Linked DNA regions of Rattus norvegicus. The protein of the gene in region 2 purifies or fractionates together with the protein of the main gene of each other region. This does not show direct contact. Links are inferred from orthologs where the notes say so. Each region holds a gene or a part of one and is shown on either strand. Other genes may lie near its edges. The genes, in order: Amotl2, Nf2 and Amotl1.

The links.
Region 1: the proteins of Nf2 (region 2) and Amotl2 purify together in Homo sapiens (affinity purification with mass spectrometry; 5 studies listed by BioGRID and IntAct, with this or other methods). This does not show direct contact. The link is inferred for Rattus norvegicus from reciprocal best matches to the Homo sapiens genes NF2 and AMOTL2.
Region 3: the proteins of Nf2 (region 2) and Amotl1 purify together in Homo sapiens (affinity purification with mass spectrometry; 6 studies listed by BioGRID and IntAct, counting the BioPlex papers as one, with this or other methods). This does not show direct contact. The link is inferred for Rattus norvegicus from reciprocal best matches to the Homo sapiens genes NF2 and AMOTL1.

What each region holds. Positions count from the first base shown.
Region 1 is NC_086026.1:112,183,646-112,191,768, reverse strand, and holds part of Amotl2 (angiomotin-like protein 2), read right to left. Parts: intron 6,922-8,123; coding exon of another isoform or gene 6,860-6,921; coding exon 6,129-6,859; intron 3,354-6,128; coding exon 3,059-3,353; intron 2,245-3,058; coding exon 2,100-2,244; intron 1,831-2,099; coding exon 1,738-1,830; intron 1-1,737. UniProt on the Homo sapiens protein: Regulates the translocation of phosphorylated SRC to peripheral cell-matrix adhesion sites. Required for proper architecture of actin filaments.
Region 2 is NC_086032.1:83,876,685-83,884,807, forward strand, and holds part of Nf2 (merlin), read right to left. Parts: intron 3,794-8,123; coding exon 3,719-3,793; intron 2,617-3,718; coding exon 2,503-2,616; intron 1-2,502. UniProt on the Homo sapiens protein: Probable regulator of the Hippo/SWH (Sav/Wts/Hpo) signaling pathway, a signaling pathway that plays a pivotal role in tumor suppression by restricting proliferation and promoting apoptosis.
Region 3 is NC_086026.1:19,631,025-19,639,147, forward strand, and holds part of Amotl1 (angiomotin-like protein 1), read right to left. Parts: coding exon 8,092-8,123; intron 7,151-8,091; coding exon 6,924-7,150; intron 5,381-6,923; coding exon 5,105-5,380; intron 4,594-5,104; coding exon 4,487-4,593; 3' UTR 1-4,486. UniProt on the Homo sapiens protein: Inhibits the Wnt/beta-catenin signaling pathway, probably by recruiting CTNNB1 to recycling endosomes and hence preventing its translocation to the nucleus.

The DNA.
Region 1 (8,123 bases), on a different chromosome or scaffold from region 2:
GGCAGTTACATAACAAAAAAACGACAACAACAAAAACCTGTGAATGCTAGGGTTTTTCTTAGTTCCTAGGGGCTGTGGATCCGGTTTTGTTGTTATTGTTGTGTTTCCAGATGCCTTGTACAATCTCTAAGACACCATGGTTGCCAGTGGGAGGCTGAGTCTACTTAGCAGGCTCCCCACATTCAGGTCCCAGCCTCTCTTTGTGCTCATGCTCTCTCCTCCCAAAGCTAGGCAGGGCGCCACCAGGGCGAAGGGCGCCACTGTCAGGCGCGCAGGGAGGGGGATGCGAGGGGAGGGAACGGAGGGGGACGGGCTGGGAGCGGAACAGCCCAGCGGCTCTGGAATGCCAGGCATCCAGGTCACCGCGGCTGCAGAGATTAATGGCTCCAGCAAGAAGCCAAGAACAGCCTGGCGCTAGCTCGCTCCCCGGGGAGCGGAAACGCCTCCCGGCTGCTTCTGCCCCCCTCCCCCTCTGCAGGCTTCCAGAAACCCTCCCTAAGACTTCCTTTCTTTGCCACTGGGTCCAAAATCCACCCCTCCCACCAAAGCACCCCTAACTTCCCAGTCTTCTGCAGACTCCCAAGGGCAAACCCTTAGGCGACACACCTCTTTCCCCTTCACCTCTGTTCTAGAGACCTTTAACCACCCCGTTTTGAAAGGTAGTAGTGGATAGCCTAGGTCTTGCCCAATCTGAGCCCATTTCCTGCCAAACTTACAAATACTCTTAAGTCCCTGAAGGAAGAGGGTGAGGGGGCGGCTGCCATCCAGAAGCCCCCCTCTCTAGAGTCTTCACCTCTTTAAACACTTCAAAGTACTCTCATAAGTATCCTTCCTTTTTACCTACAAGTCTGCCATTTCCCCTCAGTGTCTGAGACCTCCTCCTGCGGCCTCCATGCTTCGGCTGGTCCCAGAAAATCTGGGGTCACTAGGGCCTTCCTAATCTCAAACCTCCAGCTCAAGAACACTTTTCCCCTGTACCTGTTAAGCTCATCTCACCTCCCTGCCATTTTCTGGATGAATTCCTACCCTGTGCTGGCCAGGTGCTTAGCTCAGCTCAACTAATGAAGCTCCCGGGATGCCTGGAAAGATATACTTATTATATATATAAGAGTTCACTGTAGCTGTCTTCAGACAACATCAGGAGAAGGCATCCAGATCTCATTACAGATGGTTGTAAACCACCGTGTGGTTGCTGGGAATTGAACTCAGGACCTCTGGAAGAGCAGTCAGTGGCTCTTAACCACTGAGCCATCTCTCCAGCCCGGACCTCATTATTTTAAAGAGAAACTTTATGAATGCCTCCTTTAGACCGGAGCTGTTGACCAAACCCATTTGCGGCTACCCTAAGGACGCTCTGCCAGCTCAACCATCCCCTGTAGCTTCTTGTGTCCCCAGCCTTTCTGTTGCCTGGAATTGCTAGGAAACTCTGAAGAACCAGCACTGTCCTCCATTTAACTATAGCCAGGACTGTCATGGCCTCCCTACAGAAGGGACTAATGCTGTACTGAGAGTCCCTACTGTGTGGCTCAGCCAGTTACTGTTCCCTAGTCCCCATCCAACTTTGGAAACCACCCCTTCCCACAGCAGCCATTCAGCAAAACTGTTCCTGAAGTACCACTCTGCCAGGAAGCGGGTTAAACCTCAAGGGGAAGGGAGTGGTCGTGGCAGTGGGGTCACGTCATAGTGGCCTCATGGCCTGTACACCCACCCAGGTTTCTCAAATGGTCCCCTACTCACTCTGAGCAAGCAGTTTAGCCACCATGTCCTGACTGCCCGCCTGGGCTTCCTGGGTCTTGCTTGCCAGGTGGCGGTTTGCGGACTCCAATCTCTCTGTTTCAAATAAGGAGAAAAGAGGTTTTTAACACCCAGGGATGCTGTTAGCCTGGACTTTAATCTTGGCCCTAACTGTATGCTCACACCCTCTAAGCTGGGGAGATGGGATTATAAGGAAGTCCCAGCTCAGATCAGAGCCCAATGATGAGGGCTAATGTAGGCCTCAATAGTGTAGAATTGAATTTCCTCCCTAAAACAGAGCCCCGCCCCAAAGTCTGACAGATGATGTCCTCCCAACGTCCCCAACCCATGAGCCCAGTTCTCACCTCTAAGGTCTCGGTTAAAGTCCTGTAACCGTCTCATTTCACTGTCCATCTTGTTCCTCATGGTCTTCTCCAGGGCCTCACGCTTGGACGAGGTCCTCATCAGGCTCTCATGGGCCTCTGAGAGCCGCTGGATTTCATTTTCCAGCTGTAAGAGAAAGACAATAAATTCACTGTCAGGAAGGGTCCCAGGGAGGGAGGCCAGTGGATCTAGTGAGATTACCACAGGACTGCAGCCTCTTAGGTAGGCCAGACTACTGCCTGGACCCTGGGCTAGATGTTCTTCAAGGGTGGTATGGTACCTCCAGCCTGCCCCGTGCCTAGTGTTTACCAAGGACCAGGGATGAGGATATAGGTGGTTCAGCCTATTCAGAATGCTGTAGATAGATGGTAAGTGGAAGGCCTGAGGCTATTGCTAAAGTTGAGCCTTAGTACACAATTGGCTAGGCTTCCCCCGAGGAAGTGGGGGTGCCAGACCCCAGCCTGAGCTGCCTCTGCCCAGAGCATGTGGCTGCCCCTCCCACTTGGAAGCCACAGGTCTTCCACGTGCTCCTAGCTGGCTTGCTTTGCCAACACGTTGCTTTTTCTTCTCCCTAAGAGGAGGGGCTTTCTCTTTGGCCAGAGCTGGCCTGGAACAGACTGGCTGTTGTGTGGGTGCACAAAGGGCTCTCTGTGGGAGGTGTCCACAGGGGGGGCTGTGCAGGGCGAGGGTACAAGTGTGCAGTGAGCTAGTGAATGAGTTCTTTCTAACCACCACTGGCCAGCAACTGCTCATGCAACAGGGCAGGCCTCTTGGCTGTTCCTCAGCTGTCTGGAGTCAGCTTGGGGTGTGTGTGTGTGTGTGTGTGTGTGTGTGTGTGTGTGTGTGTGTGCATGTGCTGCAGAAGGCAGCCTGATAGGCTTCCCTGCTCCTCTGCCTCCCTCTGCACTGCCCACACAGGAGTGCCTTCGGGAGTCCCCACCTTTTCTATGCAGCTGGCCTTCTCTGAAGTGCTCTCCAGCTCTCTCTGCAACCGCTCATTGTCCCTCTGCAGCCTGGCGTTCTCCCTCAGCACGCTCTCCATCTGGGCCAGGTGGGCACTGCCCGAAGTGGCCTGGGCACCGGGTGGTCCCTCCAGGGCAGGTGGACTGAAGGAACTTGGGGGACCATGGCCTAGAGCGGCTGGATGGAGGGGTGGGGAGTGCTCCTGGGGTTGCTGCAGGTACTGGTACTGTTGCTGCTGGAGGAAAACCGGTGGTACCTGTGCCTGCAGGATCCTGGAAGAGAAGAGGTGATCGGAGCTCAGAGATGGACACACAGACAGACACACACTCACTGGCTATTATTGCCGATGATTGAGCCTCCCCGGCTTTAGGGAGCTACTATAGGGAGAGCCTGTGCCACAAGGTTATGTGCCTAAGATTCGAAGAGTTAGAGAGTGGGACCCGTGTGCAGGGTGCTGCATCCTGACGTTCGTTCTGTTCACAGCTGCCTTAGGGATCAGCCCAAGCCATCCTAGTTGTCCCAAGCAAATACAGCTTAAACATTATCTTTAAAAACGCACCCTTGACCTTTTGAATTGATAGAAGGTTCTTTGGGGATGGGAGCCACACAAAATCCCAGGTATGGGGTGTGGGGGTAAAGGGATTCGGGCAGGTAAGCCAAGTCAGCTAAAGCAGCACACCTGAGTTTTCCCCTCTCTGTTTCAGGGTCCTGCTACCCCCAACTACTAAAACTCTTTTCAAAGACCCCCCAGCTAAGGTGACAGCAGAGAATCAGAAGAGCTCAGTCTCACAAACGGGGACAGATTTCAGCTCCCGCTGCTGCTAGGCCTTCAGCAAACCAGTGCTGTGTCTGCCAAGTGTCACCTGTGTCTGCTAAATCACGAGGAGCCACAGAAGCTGGGCTTGACACCAGTGACAGCAGGTTCGCCCATGACTGTCTAGACTCCATCTCTGTAGGTGAGCAACTCAGTTTATGAAGAACAAGGGGCCACCTCTGGATTAGCTCAACAGCGGAGCTCAGGACTGCGTTCTACCGGCCCTTGGCCATGAGTGTAACACATCCTCATGCTCTAATAGAGAACAGAGTGAGGCACAGGTAGTCACAGGGCCTTTCTGGGGCCTTGTAACCCTAAGAGTCACAACCGCCTTCTCAGTTATACTAAGAATTTTCCAGAAGCCTCTTGGAAGTTGGATTTCACTTCTGGGCCAACCCCCCCCAACCCCCCCCCACCCCCCCCAACTCCCAGTGTTCAAAAATCGTCCCTGTAGCCTATGGCTCCCCTGTTCTTTGAGCCCCTGACTCAGTCCCTAACAAATAAATACTCCTCATCTGGTGAGCCAAGGAAAAAGCCTGCATGTGCTTTTTCCTACCAGCTCCAGGGAGAGCAGGGTAGAGAGCGCCACTGGCCTGGCTAAACTCTCCCTTGCTGCCAAGTGTGGTCACTCTCAGGGTGGCCTCAGAAAACTGTTGTCCCCCTCCACCCTTCCCTGCCCCCCACAGGCCAGGCAGACACAACTGACATTCTTCAAGAATGATTTAGCCCCAGAGAAGAATAGCGACTCCTTTCCGTTGTTCACACTCACTCCTGGTTCTTCATTTCCCACTGCCCTCCTCCCTGTCTTTTTGTTCTCCTGCAAACAGCCCACTTCCTTGCCTGGATATTATCTTTTCCTGGCAGGGTTCAAGAGGGCTGGTCCAAAAGAAGAAACTCTTCCTGACCGGCCCTGAGGTGGGAGGCGAGGTGGGGATCCAGGAGGCTGGAGTAAACCCACGAGGGCCCAGGGCCACCACTCTCTTCAATTGGTGGGAAAACCAATTGGTGGGAAATAGAGGGACCAAATGAGGACTCAGCAAGGGCAAAGTGAGCCAGACACTGACCTTGAACCCAGAGGATCTCCAGGTTAGGTTCCCTGGAGCCCCACCTCACCCCACCTCCAGGGAGATACAGCAGCAGTGCCTGTTTCTCTGGAAAAGGCGCAGGGGCCAGCTAAGATGACTAAGGTGGCCCCTCATTTCTAGGAACCTGGACTCCGGCAGTGATCTAGCTTCCTGCTTGCTCTCGTTGGTCTCCCACCTCTATGACCCATTCTCTAAGGCTGATATTGATATCTCTTATAAGAGTTGATCAGCACGCACACACACACACACACACACACACACACCCAAGACTTCACATTCAGTCAAGCCAAGTCACTACCCTGGGTTAACAGCATTCTGAGCCTCCACCAAAAAACAAACAAACAAACAAACAAACCAAAACCACTCACTCACCTAGGCCCACAATGACAAGCACAAGGGACACCCTAATAAGTAATTAACTGGCAGACAAGGCAGAACTGTACAGAAGTGGCTTAGCGAGCCACCTAGTTCTTTCAGCCTCATTAGCAACACATCCCAATGACTGACGACAACAACCAAAAATGCCCACTTTTTCTTAAAAACCTTCCAGAAGTTCCACCTTTGGCCTACTTAACTCGGAGCAGTTTGGTAAGGGTTCCCATTGTCTTTAATTAGTCCTTTCTTTAAAAGAAAAAAAAACTCTCACCTTTGAACCCCCCTTCACATCCCCTGGGACCCTCCCCTCCTTATTTGAATGCTATAGACAATGCCATCTATATTCTGAGTTAAAACAATGATGTCAGTTTCTTTTTGTTTTAGACAGTCTTGCTACTTAGCCCAGGATGGTGGTCAACTTGTGATCTTCCTGCCTCACCTAAATATTTCAGGCATGTGCTTCCATAACTGGATCAGCTAAGTCCTCCCATCCCTCCAGCCACCAGCCCTCCCTTCTCAAGACAAAAGAGAGTAGATTGGGGTTGGGGATTTAGCTCAGTGGTAGAGCGCTTACCTAGGAAGCGCAAGGCCCTGGGTTCGGTCCCCAGCTCCGAAGGAAAAAAAAAAAAGAGAGTAGATTTACATCAGACAGCCCCAGGAGCTGATGGGGGTGCCCTGGGATCGGGATCATGACATGAAAGTTGAGATCCTCGACATGTATGATATTGGGGTTCTCCTCCTGGGACACTGAACTAGAAGAAACCCAAGGTTACCTGACTTCAGCATGCTGGAAGTGTGGGCTGCTTCTCGGACGGTATCTTGGGTCATTGACAGCCGCAGTCTCCTGAGCCATTACAGCGTGTGGGTACTGAGGTGGTGGCCCACGGGGCTCCGGGCCCTCAGCTGGGGGTCCTCGGGGCTGGGGACCTTGCTGGCTGCGGGCCAGCTGAGGGAAACTGTGGGAAGAGCTCATGTGGCTGGGGACCCGGGCACCATTTCTTTCCAGGGACAGCTGCAGAAGTCGTTCACTCAAGGAGCGCACATGGCCGTGCCTCAACTCTCGAAGAGCCTCATCCTGACGTCGGCTGCCTCCTGAGGCCCCTCTAGGATCCCGGTCCCCACCATGCAGCCGGGAGCCTGCCTGCTGCGCTGCATAGTACTGCGAATGGGCTTTGGCTTCCTCATAGGTGGGCAGCTCTTCTCCCTTGCTGGGCTGTGGGCAGAGTCGGTACAGCCTGTTCTCTGCCAGGTGGGTCTCTCCACCCTGATGCTCCTGGCCCTGGGGCTCCTGCCTGGTGGCCTGCTGTAGCACCTGACTGTCCTCGGGTGCTCCGATCTCCAGGGAGGCCTGGGGGCTCCCTGTGCCCCCAGCTCCAGCCCCACCCCGCAGGGCCTGCTGCTGGATGGCCAACAGAGTGCGAGTCTCTGTCAGGTTGCCGTAGCGCAGCTGCTCCTGGATGAGGCGGTGCAGGACTGTCCCTGAGGAGTCTTCCAGTGTCCTCATGCTTCTCTGGCTTGCACACACCTGCCTAGACAATGGCCAGCAGGCACCTGGTCTCAGAGCACCTAACAGACAGAAAGAATAGCAGTCAGTGGAAGCACATACAAAGGAGGGAGGGGCACTTGCCAAAACACTCTGGATGAAGGAGAAGGTGAGATAGTTGGGTGGTTTTACACAGGCCCAGATCCAAGTGCCAATATGGCCATCAATTGATTAAGTTTAGTTACTGAGCTTCTGATCTTAGTCTGCCGTGTGTGTGTGTGTGTGTGTGTGTGTGTGTGTGTGTGTGTGTGCCTCTTGGGAGTTGAAATGTAAGAGGTAGAACGCCTGGCATGCTATAAATCCTTGGCAAATGCTTACCATTCTAAGGACATGTATGGAGACCACAGAAATACAACAGAAAACCTGAAGGTTATCTAATAATCACACTCGCCTACAATCAGCCACTACCCCCAAACGCTCTCACGAGTGACCCCAGGACAGGTGTCCATCAAATTCAACCACTTAAGCAGTAGGACCTCAGTTTACTCGCAGAGTGGCCAAAGACAGAATGTAGCCCAGTAGAAAGAAGCCCTAAGCAAATGACTCCATTGACTGTTTCGAATGAGGAGGCTTGAGCCACCATAGTCCACCACCCTCCACTGGCTTCTCTTCCAGGAGTCGGACCCTGGGCTGCAGATAAAATAAATCCTTGTCACAGATGACCTTCGCAGTCACTCTGCAAGGTGAGCAGCCTGAGAAGCTGCATGTGAACTGGTGAGGCAGAGGTGTGACTGCAGTAATTGAGCCAGCAAAATATTGATCCTCCTCCTCCTTTCTTCACACACACACACATACAAACTTAGAAAAGCCTCTACTTGTACCCTAGAGGTACACAGGGGATGACCCTCTGTATCTCTGTTGATATTAGTAACGACCACCTATGCCAGTTGATGGGGTAATGAGGTGAGGGGGAAGACGAAGGAAGGGCTCGTGGGGATGTGGCCCCTTTCTCTTCCGTGCTATCCCCAGTGTGCAGCCCCACTTTGGGAATGATGTGTTGGCAGAGCCCTGAATGGTATGTTGGTAATGAGCCCCGAGGGCACCCAAGCCGGCAACTAATACCCCCACCCCCACCCCAGCTGCACCCTACAATGTGTAAGACTTGAGACTGTTCGCACGCAGCTTTTTCTACGCGGCATTTCCTACGTTAATCACTGTCTGGGCTGACTCCCGCTAAGGAGGATCCGGGAGCGGCTAGAAGGAATGCAAAGCCTTCCCGACAGAT
Region 2 (8,123 bases):
TACTTTTCATGAAGCCTTAACACTAATAATAAAGGACTTCCTGTTTTTAAAGCACGTTATGACTTAGAGGATTTCTGGGTGCAATCTGTCCTCTGGAAAGAGGCATCACTAGCTTCACTTGACAGATAGGGAAACTGAGTCATATACAAAATGACAGATATAGCTGCAAGGTCACCAAGTTCTGTCAGGTGGCATTTGCACTATGCTCTGCTAGGGTTCAGGGGTCATCATTCCCCTTGATACCTTTAGAGTTTAATTTCTAAACTTTTCTCTACTTAAGAGTCAAGTCAATCTTCTTTTAAGATTTATTTATTATATATGAGTACACTGTAGCTGTCTTCAGACACACCAGAAGAGGGCATCAGATCTCATTACAGATGGTTGTGAGCCACCATGTGGTTGTTGGGAATTGAACTCAGGACCTCTGGAAGTGCAGCTAGGGGGCTGGGGATTTAGCTCAGTTGTAGAGCGCTTGCCTAGCAAGTGCAAGGCCCTGCCTGGGTTCTGTCCCCAGCTCCAGAAAAAAAAAAAAAAAGAAGTGCAGACAGTGCTCTTAACCCTTGAGCCTTCTCTCGGGCCCCCAAGAGCATGCTTCTTAAGTCATCACTACACCCCATGGTAGCTCAGTAGCACATTTTTGATCAACAGAACCTACACCATCACTCTTAAAGCACCCTAAAGAGCAAACTGATGGCCTACTCTCCCAGACAACAAACAGAGGGCAAGCTCACAGCTCACTGGCTCAAATTGGGCATTTCTCTATAAAGCCTGGGGCTTGGAGCCAGCCTCTCTGTGGCTCCCAAATCAGAGAATACCACACAGACTAATTATTACACCTCTGAGCACTCAAGTCCTGAGGGGGACCAAGCGCAGCTGCAGCTACTCTATCAAACAGTTCATCCCAAGCACAATTGATATTCGCAGCAGGAAGGCTCAATTCAGCTGTGGATGTCAGTGAGCAGAGAAGGCCTGAGAGTCTGCGGATAGGTGCTACAGCACCCCCTTCGGAGGGCCAGCCACGTGTACCCAGGTTGACCTGCAGTGAAGACTGCAGCTGAGAGCCTAATTAGCATTCCACAGCACACACTGAAATGCTGCCCTGTATTCTATCACCATCTAATTAGAAAGGGCACTGACCTGGCAGAGGAGACCCACAATAAAGACAGCTAGACAGACAGAGACAAAACCACGCCTGACTCCCAGTCTATGATCACACTTGAAGTACAGAAATGTTCTTGGTTTTTTTTTTAAAAGATATGTTAAAATTATGTTAAGATATGTTAAAATTAGAACTTAGTATGAATTTCCCTTAAACTTTTTATTATGTTTATTTATTTGTATATGTAAGTATGCATGTGGCAGTCAGAGGACAACTTGTAGAAGTCAGTTTTCTCCTTCTACCTCACTCTGAGTATTAAACTCAGGTTGTCAGATTTGGTAGCAAACCTTTACCCACTGAGCCATCTTAACAGCCCACATGCTTGTTTCTATAGCTGACATCCCACTATCCAGGCATTAGCAATGTAATAAGAGCAGGTACATCTATAACCATAAGAGTCTAGCCGGAACGGGGTTGGGGATTTGGCTCAGTGGTAGAGCGTTTGCCTAGCAAGTGCAAGGCCCTGGGTTCGGTCCCCAGATCCGAAAAAAAGAAAAGAAAGAGTCTAGCTGGCAACAGCCATCCCTTACCTTGTAGGCCAAGACCAACCAAAAGCAATATCAATTAAAGCAAGGTTTTTTTTTTTTGTTTTGTTTTGGTTTTTTTTTTTTTTTCTTTTTCTTTTTTCTTTTTTTCAGAGCTGGGGACCGAACCCAGGCCCTTGAGCTTGCTAGACAAGCGCTCTACCACTGAGCTAAATCCCCAACCCCTAAAGCAAGGTATTGCTTTATTGTCATGTGTATGAGAAAGCATGTGTGGCGCATGTCCTATGGCACAGGGGTGGATGTCAGGGGACAATTCTGTCGAGTTAATTCTTGTTCCATCTTTCGAGGGCCTTCAGGTATCAAATGCACAACGCCAAGCTTGCCACCGTGTTTGCCCTAAAGTCATACCTGAGCTGGGCATGATGGCACATGTCAGTGATCCCTGAATTAGAGGCTGAGGCAAGAAAACTGTCTCGAGTTTGAGGCCTGACTAAATGCCAGAGTGTACATGGCCAGTCAGAACTATATAGCAAGAATGTGTCCCACACAAACAAACTAACTACAGACTGGAAGAAATCTCAGTTAAGAAAGCTCTTGCTAGGCAAACATGGGTTTGATCCCTAGCACCCAGGAAAAAGGCCAGGCATGGCAGCATACTGGGGAGGTAGAGACGGACAGAATCCTAGGCTTGCTGGCTTAAATTTATCACTGAGTCCCTGGTCTACTGAGACACACTGCCTCAAAAGACAAAGTAGATGGCTCTTGAGAAATGATACCCCAGGCTGACCTGTGGTCTCCAAATCAAGAGCACATAGACACACATACACAAACCAAGTGAGACAACCAAGACCTTCTCACCTGTTTTCTTGCCTTCTCTTCCCTGGCCTGGGCTTTCATCTGCTGAACTTCTAAAGAGTCAGCTTTCCTTCTCCTCATAAATAGGTCATGGTTCCCAATACACAGCTGAAGAATCTGTGGCCAAGGAAATAAAAACATATTAAGCATGTAAATTTACTTGGCTGCCTCCCAGCCCACAATGTCATAGCATCCTGGCTTTGTAAACCTGGGGAAGACCAAAAGTGGAATAAAACACAAAAGCCTTGCTGACGCTTCCAGTGCTCTCTGGAAACATATACAAGTGCCTCAGGGAATCCAGGAGTAAAGATCTCAAGTGGGAGAAGCCACCATTAGTCACCCACATACATACCACAGTCTCCTAAGCCAAGGTATGGCAAGGCAAATCAAGAGGACAGAAAGACCAACCAAAAAGTTGGGTGGGGTCAAAGGCTATTCATGCGGAAAGAAATATTTGGGCCTTCTCCCTCATGTCAAAAGCTGATTCCAGTTTCAAAGGTAACTTTGAAAGATTTGAAGATAGAGTTTTGTTTTGTTTTTTTAATCTGAAAAAGGAAAGATTTCAAATAAAAAATAAATACAGAGGAACAAATGACAGAGGTTTTTAAAGTGTTGACAGGAAAGGTAAAATTTACTTGTTATGACATCATATAGAAGGAAGATGAACCTTACAAGGAAAGATGATAATAATTAATAAAGGTGATAATAATTAATAAAGATGATAATAATTAATAAAGAAAACAACCAACCAACCCAAGAGGAAAATGGCCAAGACATGAGACAAGAATTTAAACAGGAAATTAGATTTAGTCAACAGATTATAGATTTAACTTCATTAGAAATTATAAAATGCAAATCAATATGGCAAGTGGAGGGCTGAGATATACCTCAGTGGTAGAATGTTTCTGAGCACGAGGAAAGCATAGAGTCTATCTCCATTCCCGCCCCCTCACACACCAAAAAAAAAAAAAAAAAAAAAAAAAAAAGTTAACTTGTTAACTCTGTAGGTTAAACTAAAGAGAAAAGTATTTACTAGGTCAAATATCGTTTTACATCTCTTAGCAAGAGAAACTAGGGCCAGATAGATCCCTGGTAGAGAGGCTTTTTAAAAAAGGGCAAAATTACACACACACACACACACACACACACACACACACACACACACACTCAATTTCTCAGAAAAGTTAATTCTGTCATGAAAACCAGGGTTTCAACTTACCAGCTTATTAACACGAAGCTTTGAAGAGTTAAATTTAAAGACATCAATTTTCTTATCCAGTGGTTTAATAGTAAACTGAAAGAAAAGAGTACAGTTTCTTGTGACACCAACTAAAAATCCACAAAAGTAGCAACCACACAGCCTCTGGTCCTAGCTTCTTGGTGCTAGGAATAAGGCCTGGATGAGTTAGAGGAGCACAGGGTACCAAGTTTGGGGCTGCAGAAGTTGATAACCTGACCACCTTGGGCAGCTGTGAGGAAAGGTCAGTGGAGTCCTGCAGTTAGAACCCAGGATGGGCCTGCTCTGGAGGCCACCCTGCAAAGCTCCCTGCCTTCAGAAAGCTCACAGTCCAGTAGGGCTTAATCCAACAATATACTCAATATATTAGTATGAGAACACCATATATTAGTGTCTCATTGGTAGGACATGTCACAAATATCTCATAGGTTTGGAGCTCACCTAGTCCAAATGGCAGGTCTTAGAAGTATATGGCAGAATAGCAAAGATACAAAGGAGGGGCATTCTAGACAGGACAAATAAATAAATTCAGTCTCTAGCACTGAAAAGTAAGGGGGGGAGGGGGAGGAGGAGGCGGCGGCGGTGAGAGGGAAGGAGCAGGGATGTTAACCTTATTAGCTTTTTAGTAATTGCAATGATACGGCAGGCTTAAACAGGAAGGCTGATGGGTGGTGAAGAATAAAAAAAGTCAGAGGGCTTAAAATGGATGTGACACGATATAGCAAGTTCCTGTAATTTCTGAACATGGTCAGTGGTCAAAGATGTAAGGGAAGGAATAGTGTGAAGAAAAGGGGTTGCTCTAAAAGAGAAATGCGTAGTTTCTGAAATCAAGATGAAAAGCAAGTGACAATGTAGCAAGGGAAACTGAAACACAAACTCAGCGACTGCTACTCCAACCACTGAGGAGACCAGAATGATCCTCGACTCCAGGGATGTCCCTGGAAGGTGTCTCTAAGCTGGATATGGTAACACATACCTGTCATACTGGTAGAAGGCATAGGGAGGAAGATCACAAGTTCAAAGCGAGACTGTTCTATATAGATTTCCAGGTCAGTCAGGAATACATAGCAAGACTCACATCAAAAACAAAACGAAACAAGCTATCTAGATCAAAGTACTTTATATGCACATATGAAAACGTCATAATGACACCCATTACTTTATACAATTAGCATATGCTACAAACATTGTAAAAGTGCAGACACATTCCCAAGAAAGAATTTTATGGCCACCCCAGCAAAGCAGGGAAAAAAAGACTAACCCAGAGGTACAGCTCTTGCCTGTATGTGGCTTCCATCCTAAGGACCACAAAATATAAAATGAAAAACAAAACAAAAAGAATGAGTTGCTTAGCAAATAAACTCACAGGGAAGGTATTTCTTTACATGCTTATATTGTCCAACGAGAAATGAGCACACATAGGACCAAAAATAAATAAGATAAATAAATAAAGAAAGAAAGAAAGAGAGAAAGAGAGAGAGAGAAAGAGAGAGAGAAAGAAAGAAAGAAAGAAAGAGAGAAAGAGAGAAAGAGAGAAAGAGAGAAAGAGAGAAAGAGAGAAAGAGAGAAAGAGAGAAAGAAAGAAAGAAAGAAAGAAAGAAAGAAAGAAAGAAAGTCCTTAGTTTGGGTTTGGGTCAAGTTAATTTAGTCATAGTATTCCTCTGGTATGGAGTATTATTTATGAATTTCATAAGCTTATTTCTAGCCTTGCTACAGAACCCTAGAGCTGTCAGTAAGAAGACACAAGTAGTAGGGAAACCCCAGGCTCTGTTTTTCACACCAGACCATACAGAAGAATCAAAATGAACCAACACTTCTGTTTTAGCAGGACGACTGCCATAGAGACTCCCAAAACTATTTCCTATTATGGCATGCCAAGGTAGCTTGGGGTCTGCTTGCCACATAAGGAACTGATGTGATGGAACATGATGGTCTCTTACCCCTAGAGAGGGCACATTAGTTTGTTGTGTCAGGTCATACCAGGGGACCTTAATCCTTGTGCTCTCTGAAAAACACATATTTGAAAATTTAATGTGCAAATATATGTGATGTGTAGTGAACAGCCTTTGTGAAATTGAGGGGTAAAGCAACAGTTCCACTGTGACACGCCCACTATGTTAAGTCATGTGGAGTTTCCAATTTAAGAACTTGAAGAGGAGAGCTACCTAAGGCTCACGTCCCAGGACAACCAGTTATAAAAACCACAGCCAGAATGCTAGGATTAAGAAATGCAACTGGCCTGGCAAATGGCTCAGCTGGTTAAGGTGAGTGTCACCAATCCTTCAAAACTGAGTTTCATCTCTGTGACCTACATAATATAAGGAGAGAAAAAGACTCCTAACAAGTTGTCCCCTGACCTCTACACAACCACCCTGGCACATGCTACACCCCTTCCTCCAGTAAGTAAATAAATAAATGTAAAACAAGCCAGTTCATTTTGAATTTGGTGTGATGATGCACACCTGTAACCCCAACGTTTAAAACTGAGACAAGAGGTCATGCAGCAAAACTCTGTCAAGAGAGTCAGGGGGGGACCAAACCAAACCAAACCAAACCAAAAGCAGGCAACATAAACCATACCTGTTATTCACTGTCTAGGCCTGCCTCCTGCCTGGTGTCTTGCGTTCTTAGGGTCCAGACTCTGGGCCACTCTGATAAGCAGGAGCTCTGGCATCAGGCACCTTAGCTCCCAGTCCTCGTCACTTCCCTCATCAGACACAAGATCTCAGTGTATCTGTTTTCTGGTGACATGGATACTGAATGTATCCCTGCCTTTACAGTAAGTTAATTCTGAGGACTTGATCAGACAGCCAGGGCTAGCACATACAGAACTAGAGCAACCACATTACCAGCCCTTCCACTTCACTCATTTATTTATGGAAGGAGAAGGCACCTTCCCCGGCCCACCTGTGAAGATCAGAGTACAACCTGTAGGACTTCATCCTCTTTTCCAACATGAGGGTCTCAAGCACCTTTACTCGCTGGGCCATCTCACAGCCCACACTGCACTTACGCACTAGAGCAGTCAAGTCATTCTGAACCAGACTTCCTTGAGAGCTAATACTTCACTTTCTGCATCTCTGTTTGCTCTATCTTTGCCTGGCATGAAGTCCAACAATTCCTTTAAGCTGGGCATGGTGGCGCATGCCTTTAATCCTAGCACTCAGGAAACAAGGGCAGGTGAGTCTCTGTGAGTTCAAGGCCAGCATAGTCAAAGAGTGAGCTTCCTGGACAGCCAGGGCTGTTACACAGAGAAACACTGTCTCTAAAAACAAAATAATAGTAGTAATAGTAGTAGTAGTAGTAATAGTAGTAGTAGTAGTAGTAATTAATAACACATTTCTTTAAAAATCAATGAGTAGGAAGACAGGGAGATGCTCAGTGGAATATAACTGCCTTGCAGCAAGGCTCTGGGTTTGATCCCCAGCACCATCTTGTAAACATAAACAGAATTAATACATAAAACAGGACTATTGCATTTGGAGAAAGTCATCTTATATGGAAATATGTGAATCAACTCTGTGGTTCATACCTGTAAGCCCAGAATTTAGGAGGCCTAGGTAGGAGTATAGGCCATTTTGCACTACATAGAAATATTTTAACCCAATTAATGTTATTTAAGTCCCTCAAACTTTATTCTCAAGTAACCCTTAGAAATATGGCAGCCTGTTATCTTCATTCATATAAATAAATTATGTATATGAATACACTGTTGCTGTCCTCAGACACACCAGAAGATCCCATTAATGGCACCAGATCCCATTACAGGTGGTTGTGATCCCAACTCAGTGGTTGATGGGAATTGAGCTCAGGACCTCTGGAAGAGGAGTCAGTGCTGTTAACCACTGAGTCATCTCTCCAGCCCCAAGGGGTTTTCTTTTTTCAACTTTTTTTTTTTTGGAGCTGGGGACCGCTAGGCAAGCGCTCTACCGCTGAGCTAAATCCCCAACCCCTCCCAAGGGGTTTTCTTAATCAGATAATGAAGCCTAAATCTGGCCATATTTTCTAGCGGCCCCATAAGAGGACACAGAAGGAGGAGTTTGCTTTGGCTCCCTTGGTAGCAAGCTCATCTACCCTGTTGCTATAGCATTCACTCCGTACAGTGTTAGAACCAACTTCATTGGGCTTACAGCACAAACTAAACAGCTGCTCTTCAGGAATCTTCCAGGTCTTAAATACAGACCGAGACTGAAGAGAGATCCAGCCTTGTGGATTGGACACTCCTGGATTCTCCATTCCATTCGCCAGTGTGAGATGGCCATTGTTGGAGTACTTGGACTTCATGCTATAAGCCAGTCTAATTCTCTTTTAATATGCACATTCATCCCATCAGTTGTTTCTTTAGAGAATCTTGACTAACACACCCCTTATAAATATATAGCTATCA
Region 3 (8,123 bases), on a different chromosome or scaffold from region 2:
GTGTGTGTGTGTGTGCATGTGTGTATGTGTTTGTGTGTGTGTATGTATGTGTTTGTGTGTATGTGTTGCATGTGTATGTGTGTGTTTATGTGTGTGTGTGACACTTGCATCGGCTGACTCTCTCCTGCTGCCATGGGGTTCCTGGGGACCAAACTCAGGTCTTGGCTCTGGTTGGTGGCAGTCCCTTTTCCGTGGAGTCATCTTGATGGCCCTGGGATTCTGATTCTGACTAATTGTTCTGTGTTCAGTCGCTTGCACTGTGAACAGCGTGGGGTATTTCCAAAACTTAAATCCATTCTCAAAAGACAATGACCTCTCACTTCAAAGGGAATCTGAGGAATGGGCCAGGCCTTGGAAGCCATTCTGCTAGAGGAGTCCACAACCATTTTACACAGTGAGCCCTGCAGTCCTCCCCAAGGAGAGAGCTCAGAGGGCAACAGAAGGACTTTTTTGGATATTAAGAGAAATTCCACCGTTTATGTATGCATTCACATATAATGCAATATACCATTAAATTACTAAATGAGAACAGGCATACTACTGAAAAGAGGGAAAAATACTGCTCTCCAATTCCTGAAGAAATCCACTGAACTTGGGCGCCCCTTGGATGACTGGCTGGCTTCTGAGGGTTCTTATTACACAGCCTATCTCCCATGGAGCCACACCACACACAAATGCCTTTAAAAAAATCCTCACATCAACTAAAAACATTTAAAACACACTGATTAACTAGAAAAAAAATAGAAGAAAGCCAACATGTACATACTTAGAGACTGGCTGACTCAGCTTTTAGGAAGTTACGGGGACTGACTTTTCTCTAGCACCACCATTTAAGAACATTTATCAATCTTGCTTCTAATATCCACAACACCCCTTTGCTTAAAGAGGGTGTGATCTTACTCAGAGAACACAGAGAAACACACCCTACTCGTTCAGCACAGACAAAGAAGGCACCATGTGTTCGTACAACCCAAGCTCCCAGTCAGGACAGCTTTCTGCAGCCTACGCACAAGGGACCTGCCTGGAAACACCTTGTGTCATGGTCATCCCCTGTCTCCCAGATTGGCCTTATCCGACTGCTCACACAAGTCTCTGGGACTCAGAAGGCTGTGGGGAGGACAGGACCCAGCACACTAGCTCTTGGAAAGGAGGAGTTTCAGCCACTTTATTAAATGTGTGGCGCAGGTGGCTGGGGCCAAGCAGGACAGAGCCTCTCTGTAGGGGACACTGCGGCTTCTTTCTTGAGTGCTGAAACCGCTGGGTTCTCTGTACTGAGGCCAGAATTCACTTGCCTCTAAATGCACTCACAGCAAAAGGTCAAGCCCCATACATGGGCTCCAAAGAGAGACTTCTCTCTGAACAACACTGGCCCCACCATTCCTTGTCTCCACCCCTAAGGAAAGCAGGGTGTGGGGCAGTCACCGCTGAAGGCCACAGCCTTTACCTGTCCTTTATCCCGAGAGGAGACCGTCAAGCTCTATGATCAAAGGCTCCAAGAGATCTGAGGAGGAGCCCTCTGCACCACGAGGAAGGGCTTTGACTTATTTTTATCGGCTTTGTACTTGTGCTTGTAACAGACCGTGAAGACTTCCATCCACGCCTGTGGATGGCAGTGGTATGGTTAGTTATATGGGGTTTGGGTTTAGTCCTGTTTTCAGGCCCCGAGAGGAGCGTCAGCTTCCCTATGTGCACACAAGTGTCACAAGTTGGGCCACCGATCACCCAGGCATAGTTCTAGATATCATGTTCAAGGCTGTGCAGCCTGTGACTGAGACTCCTCTTCTGAGTCTTTGCTTTAAGTGCTAGCCTCTGTGTCAAGCTTGGAGGTGGGCTGGTACACCTCACGGGTCCAGCTTCTGCATCTGAGCAATCAGGAGAGTGAACTCGGCCTCGTTTCCCTGATGCTGTGAGGGCCATTCAACGGGTACTTTTTCTAGTGCTTGCACAGTCAGTACCAAAGTACCTATGCAGTACTGTTGTTCCCGGTGTTGAAGGAGTTCAGGTCCCATGAACTTCCCGGAGTACAACATGGCTTCTGAGTGCCTGGGGCTCACGCTTCAAGAGAATTACAAGGACAGAAGACTGAAGGGCCTCGACCTTAAAGACATAGCCTCTCTCTTCTTCAACATGGATTCTTAGGCAAAATCTACACTCCACATGCAGTTAAAGCCTAGTCTGCGCCCCCTTTGCTTTTGAACAACTGAAACGTACTAACAGTATGGGGGAGAAGGTATGGGGGAGGGGGTATGGGGGAGAGGGTATGGGGGAGAGGGTATGCTGGAACAGGAGATTTCCTGTCCAAGTGTACAATGTGTCTGGAACACTTAGACTAGAATTTGAGTAAGGGGCAGTGCCCCACTCCTATGCTGGGAGACAGCCTAAGTTTGGGGTGGCTCAGACATTGCTCCAGGGCTGGAATATCTCATTAATTACCCATCTCTATACCCTTCCCTTTCTGGGTTGTCTCCAACATTAACTGGAGACAATATGCTCTTAAGAGAATTAGTTGCCGTCAACCAAACAACATGCCCTATCCAAAATGATTCCTACACCCACCTGCTTCATCTTCCAGCCCCACCTCAACTGGCAAGACTTCTTATGCTGTCCTCTCATCCCCTTCCCTGCAGAGCACAGGGCAAGCTAGGGCTACAAGGTCTGAGAGAAGAGGTTAAGGAGGGGGTGGGGGACTCCAAGCCTGGTTCCCACTGCCATGTGCAGCATGGGGAAGCCAGTCCCACCTCCTCTGTCTTGTCAGATGGCCCAGGGTCCTGTAGGGAGACACGATTGCTCTCTCCTCCCTATCCCCCCTCCCCCTCTTCTCTGCTCTCCAGGCTAATCTCTCACAATACACGTGCCACCTCAACCTGGGGAGGCCACAGTCTCACCCTAGGGACAAGTCAGAGATCTCCGAGCCAAGCTAGATTCAGCGCTGCATTTAAGAGGGACTTAGAGTCACAGAGTTACCACTTTTCTTTTTTCTCTTGAGCAAAGAAGGAATGAGGAAGGGGACTTGGAAAACAAATCCTACTGATCTGGGGATAGATAGTTCAGGAGCCTGAAGGGCCACCCGTGCTATGGGCAGCGTCTCCTGGGGTTTGTAGGAAGCTAGTGTCCCCAGCAATGAACATGAGACCTTGTGGCAGCAGCCTCGGGGCCTGTCTCTCGCTCACAGGGGTTCGCTTCCATGACATTGCTGCTTCACTTCAGGGAAGTCCTGTCCCTCGGGTGACACTGACCGTGCTGCCAGTCTACCAGCCTGATGGGCTACGAAGCAAATTCACAGGAAGAAAGAACTGATCAGGGACGGCACTGTGCTCATCAACAGGAGCCAGGGCAGAAGGAGGCCAGAGGGAGCAATGAACAGAACTGAGAGCTTCCGATACAGAAAGTGGCTGGGGGATGCCTGTGAGATCTCGCAGCCACCCAGAGAGCTCTGCATAAGCCATCATGGGGTTCCTGTGGTGCCTGCTCACAAGGAAGCCTTCCTACAGGGCATTGGGGTGTGACTGTCAAGTTCCTTGCAAGAGAGCGGATGTGAATGAGAGGCACATCAGGGCACGATGTTACCCTATCTATCGACTCATGGACTCCTCATCCAAGTTTCCCTAGCTCACAGTAAGATTGACAGCTGCAGTTTGGCTAAGCAGAGGTGTGGGGAAGCAGCCGGGGTGTCAACAGGAGGCTCTGTCCAATTGGACACCACAGCATGGATGGTAGTCTCCTAAGTCCCATACGTAAGGAACTCTGCTATGTCTAATTAAACAGAAAAAAATTACAACAAAATAATAAGTAGAGACAAGACAGATAAGTTCAAAGAAGTCAGGGCGGATGAGGGCCAAGGGCATCTCTCTCCCATCCTGCTCAGAAAATACCATTCAATCCAGACAAGCAAAGCCTCACACTCTCTGAAACCACAAACCACAAATGAAAACAGCCAAGAAGGTGACAAAACTTGCCTGTGGAATCCCCCATTATCCTGGATGTATCTGCTAAGGACACACACACACACACACACACACACACACACACACACACACACACACACACACACTACATTATGCCAAGATTCTTCTTAAACCAAACCTGCTAAGAGACAAAGGGAAGAAGGTCATTCCAAGGAAAGGCTGGCTTTTCTTCATCTGTTTATCAGCCAAGAACGGGGAAGCATGGAACCTCCCCAAAACATACAATTTCTCTACAATGGAAAATTCCACTCCTCCTCAACTCTGCTTCTCAGCCTGCATGCGTTCTCTTTCACTCCCTCTGCAGACAAGTGAGCCAGCTGCGTTGGTAACACTGTGACACGAGCCAGCTGCGTTGGTAACACTGTGACACGAGCCAGCTGCGTTGGTAACACTGTGACACGGTGTCCACAGCTGTCCTGGTTTTGCAGTTGCTACTGCAACTGACCATCTGGATCTTCTCTCTTCTTGCAGCCTCTAGTGCGTCTGTCAGCATGCTGGCACCACACTCCACAGGACGACGGTTAGATGAGCACTTCCATTATCTCTCCATCCGGGAACTCAGGCTTCTGCAACAAGCTGCTGACTCGGCCTCTGTGTTCTGATGACTTCCCGTGCCCAGGAGAGTTCTCTGCCAGACAGAGGACAGATATCAGAAACCTGTTACTCAGTGGGTACCTTGGTTTACGGGGAATTTTTATGGTGGAACCATTTCTAACGTCACACCTTGCCCAAGAATCTCATACACCCCGGTGGAGGCTATGCGAATCTCTTGGTGGGAAGTGCACAATGACTGGAGGCAGCGCCCAGAGAAGACGGTGTCTTAGGGTTCTGGACTGAGTAAAAACTAAGGAGAAAGCCAGCTGCAGACCTGACTCCCCCCATTTCCTGTCTGCCCAGATGTGAGCAAGTGCCTCCTACTTCAGTCACTGCTACTTTGACGGATGGATTGTCCCTCAAACCATGAGCAAATCCTTCCTCCCTCAAATTACTTCTTATGTCTGTTCTACCTATCCCCTGGGGATACACCTTAGTCCCATGCAACAAAGAACACACGACCTGAGGTGATGACCACCACTGAACACGGGGGTTGACTGGACTTCCTGATCTCTCTAGGCACGGGAGAGATAGGGGCCACATACCCTGTTTCTCCACGGTTCCTTTGGCAGCTGGATGTTTCAGGACGGGGCTGTTGGAAGGGGCGGTGCTGAGCCTGCCGCGGCTCGGGAGGGAAGCCATGCTGGGCCAGAAGAGCTCAGTGATCTTGTCGGTCTGCGTGCTGCTGTCCTTGCTGCCTGTCTTGGCGTGGGTGCTGCTGGCTGATGTGGTGGAGGTCGGCGGGGACAGTGCAGAGGCAGGTGTGGCTGGCAGCAGAGGGGCAGAAGCCTGTCCCTGGTGCTCCTTCCCCAGCAGGAATCCTGAAGGCAGAAGAAGCAGCTTTTCAAGGATAATGTTTTCTCTCAAGTCCTTTTGTAAGAACACTTACCCTTTTCTTCCTAGATCAGGGATAACTTTATTTACTCAATGATATATCCATTAAACCCTTAAGTACTTGTGTGCATTCTTGATGAAGTGAAGTATTATGTATCAAGTCCATATAACTAAATTCTGTATGGAGTTGGTATTTGCATTCTAAATTCAAACAATGGAAAACCATATTTGACCGGTGGGGTAGCTCGGAAGGAAAAAGGGCCTTTTGCTGCCCTGAATCCCATCTTATTGATGCCCGGCGAAACTCCGGAGTGAGACGCAGTCATCTAGTAGTAGGGGAAGAGAAGGGATGGACAAGTGCTCCTGGGAGCTGCTCAGCAATTAGGAAGGTAGACACCATGGTCCTCATCAGCTCTTCAGGCCCATCATGGGTGAAATGGGAAACCCTAAGGTCCTATGCAGAAGCCTGTGAGGGTGGTTTCCACCCGAACCCCAGATCCCCTCTTGTCTCTATGACTGATGTGAGGGCCCCAGTCACATTGACAAGGAGGTAGTCTGGTGCAGACAATATGGCCAGTCTTCCTTAGGCCTCAACTCTCTGGCCTTGTACTGACCTGCTAAATGTTGAGAGAGAAGCCCAGGCACCGTGATGTGTACCTGAATCATCACACAGATTTCTCCTAGAGCAGTTTCTGGCAGAACTGAACAAATTTAGACTCCTCAACCAAACCTGCCTCACTGTCCGTGTGATGGGCTTTAATAATCACAGTTCCCATCCCTGTAGATCCTCTCTGATGAGCTAAGGTTATTGGGGTCACCAATAGAGGGACATCAAACAGATGAGATTCTGGTTGAGAGTCTTTGATCCCCCTACTCTGTGGGTTCATACGGAAGCCCTTATACCCTGTGGAATAAATCAGCCAGACACCACGGAGGCCCTGTGCTGGAGAACATTGACTCCGGGTATAGAGAGAAATGAAAATGTGTGCTGAGCAGGGGACAGGTGTAAGAAGGGACAGACACTGGCAGGCAGGGCGAGGGGAGAGGTGGTCTTGGAAGCTTCCTTTCCAAGCTCACTGGCCCAGCCTGTGAACAAGCATGTCTGTGCTAAGACCCCTGCTGGAGAATTCTCAACATCCCACATACACAACACAGGCTGACCCTCATCCTTGACCCTGACCCCTTTCATGTTCCACAGGTATAGAACACATCATGGGAAGTTACAGAGATGGTCCAGGATTCTGAGGGACTCTAGGCTTATCCTGCTGAGACACTTTATGTTTTTCTTGTTAATTATATTGACAAGAATCAATCCATGCCCAAGAGCTCACATAGCCTTTGGAATCCAAAGCTCTCCTGTGTATCTCATTTAACCCTCACAACCCCACATGGCTGGCTTTCCTCCCCCTTTGAAGAATGCATAAATTGACAAAAGATGACACCCCAAGATCCAGCAGTGATAAGGCGGCCAATTCAGGGCTTCTGTAGGTGCCGCTCTATATGCTCTTTTCTACGGGGTCCTCTTCTCACCTATACTCCCCTTCCAGGTCTTCTCTTCCTTCTTGTCTTCTGCCAGCTGGCCGCTGGTCAGTGAAGTCTGACGGGAATGTGTCCCGGTGGCCGCAGCAATGGATGGGACAGAGCGGGCAGGCCGCAGACTGGAAGAGTCAGTCTTCCCAGCATCCTTACGGGATCGCTGCTGCAGGACTTTTATCATGGCATCCTTCTCTATGATTTTGGCATGGAGGTTTTTAATACTGTAAAACCAAACCATGGAAGAACAAAGGTGTGATTAAAATGCCAGTTAGATAGAAAACTCTGCAACACTTGTCTCAGGGACTTTCACAGTAATTCTGGGATATGGGGTTGAGAGTGGCAGAGGCGGTCTGCAACTTTCCCAAGCTGTGCTTCCCAAAGTAGATCAAACAGTGCACCTTCCCTGGCACCTCAGCAGATGGGGGAGACCCAGGGGCCTGTGAGAAGGACAGGAGCCATCTGCTAGGAACTCTGAGGACTAAACTAAGGACACCTGTGGCTCACATTTGGGGGTAAAGAGTGGAGGTGTGAACACCAGGGAAGCAGAAGCTCTGGTCCCACACGAGGTAAACTGTGACTGCAGGGAAATGTCTATGGGGAAGGAAAAGTGAAGAAATGGCTGGGTTCTAGGAGAGAAGATGGCTTCCCCACCGATGGCCAAAGATGAGAAGCAGAAAGCCGGGGGTCTTTCCACAACTCACAGATACTTGCTGAACCTATTTCTGGTTCCGTTGGGAAGCCCTTTCTTCATATCAGCCCATGGGAGCCTCAGGCATTCCAGTGACATCACAACTCCTGCTGGACACTGTCCATCCGTCAGGGGAGCACATGCTGGCTGGTTAGAGCTCTTTATCTTTGGTGGGAATAGGTAACTCTGGCCCCCAATCTCTAGACCTTGGGGATGGTATTTCTGTTTCATTCTCAGCTCATAGGATTGTGGAGGTAGGGCAAAACCGCCCAGAACTTTCAGGGACTGATGGAGACTCCAGTTATTAGACAGCCTCCGTCTTCACCTTTCCCCTCTCCAGAGCAGGAGGCTTTGAAGCCCTTAAGCTCATGCCAGTTAGAACCAAGGAAAGTAGGAGAGTGAGGAGGGCCTGGCATGGGAGTCCAGCACCTGCTGGTATCCACTCAGAGCTGGCATCTTATGTGGGTATCTTACGTGTACTCCATGTCCTGACACCGCCTGTTGGC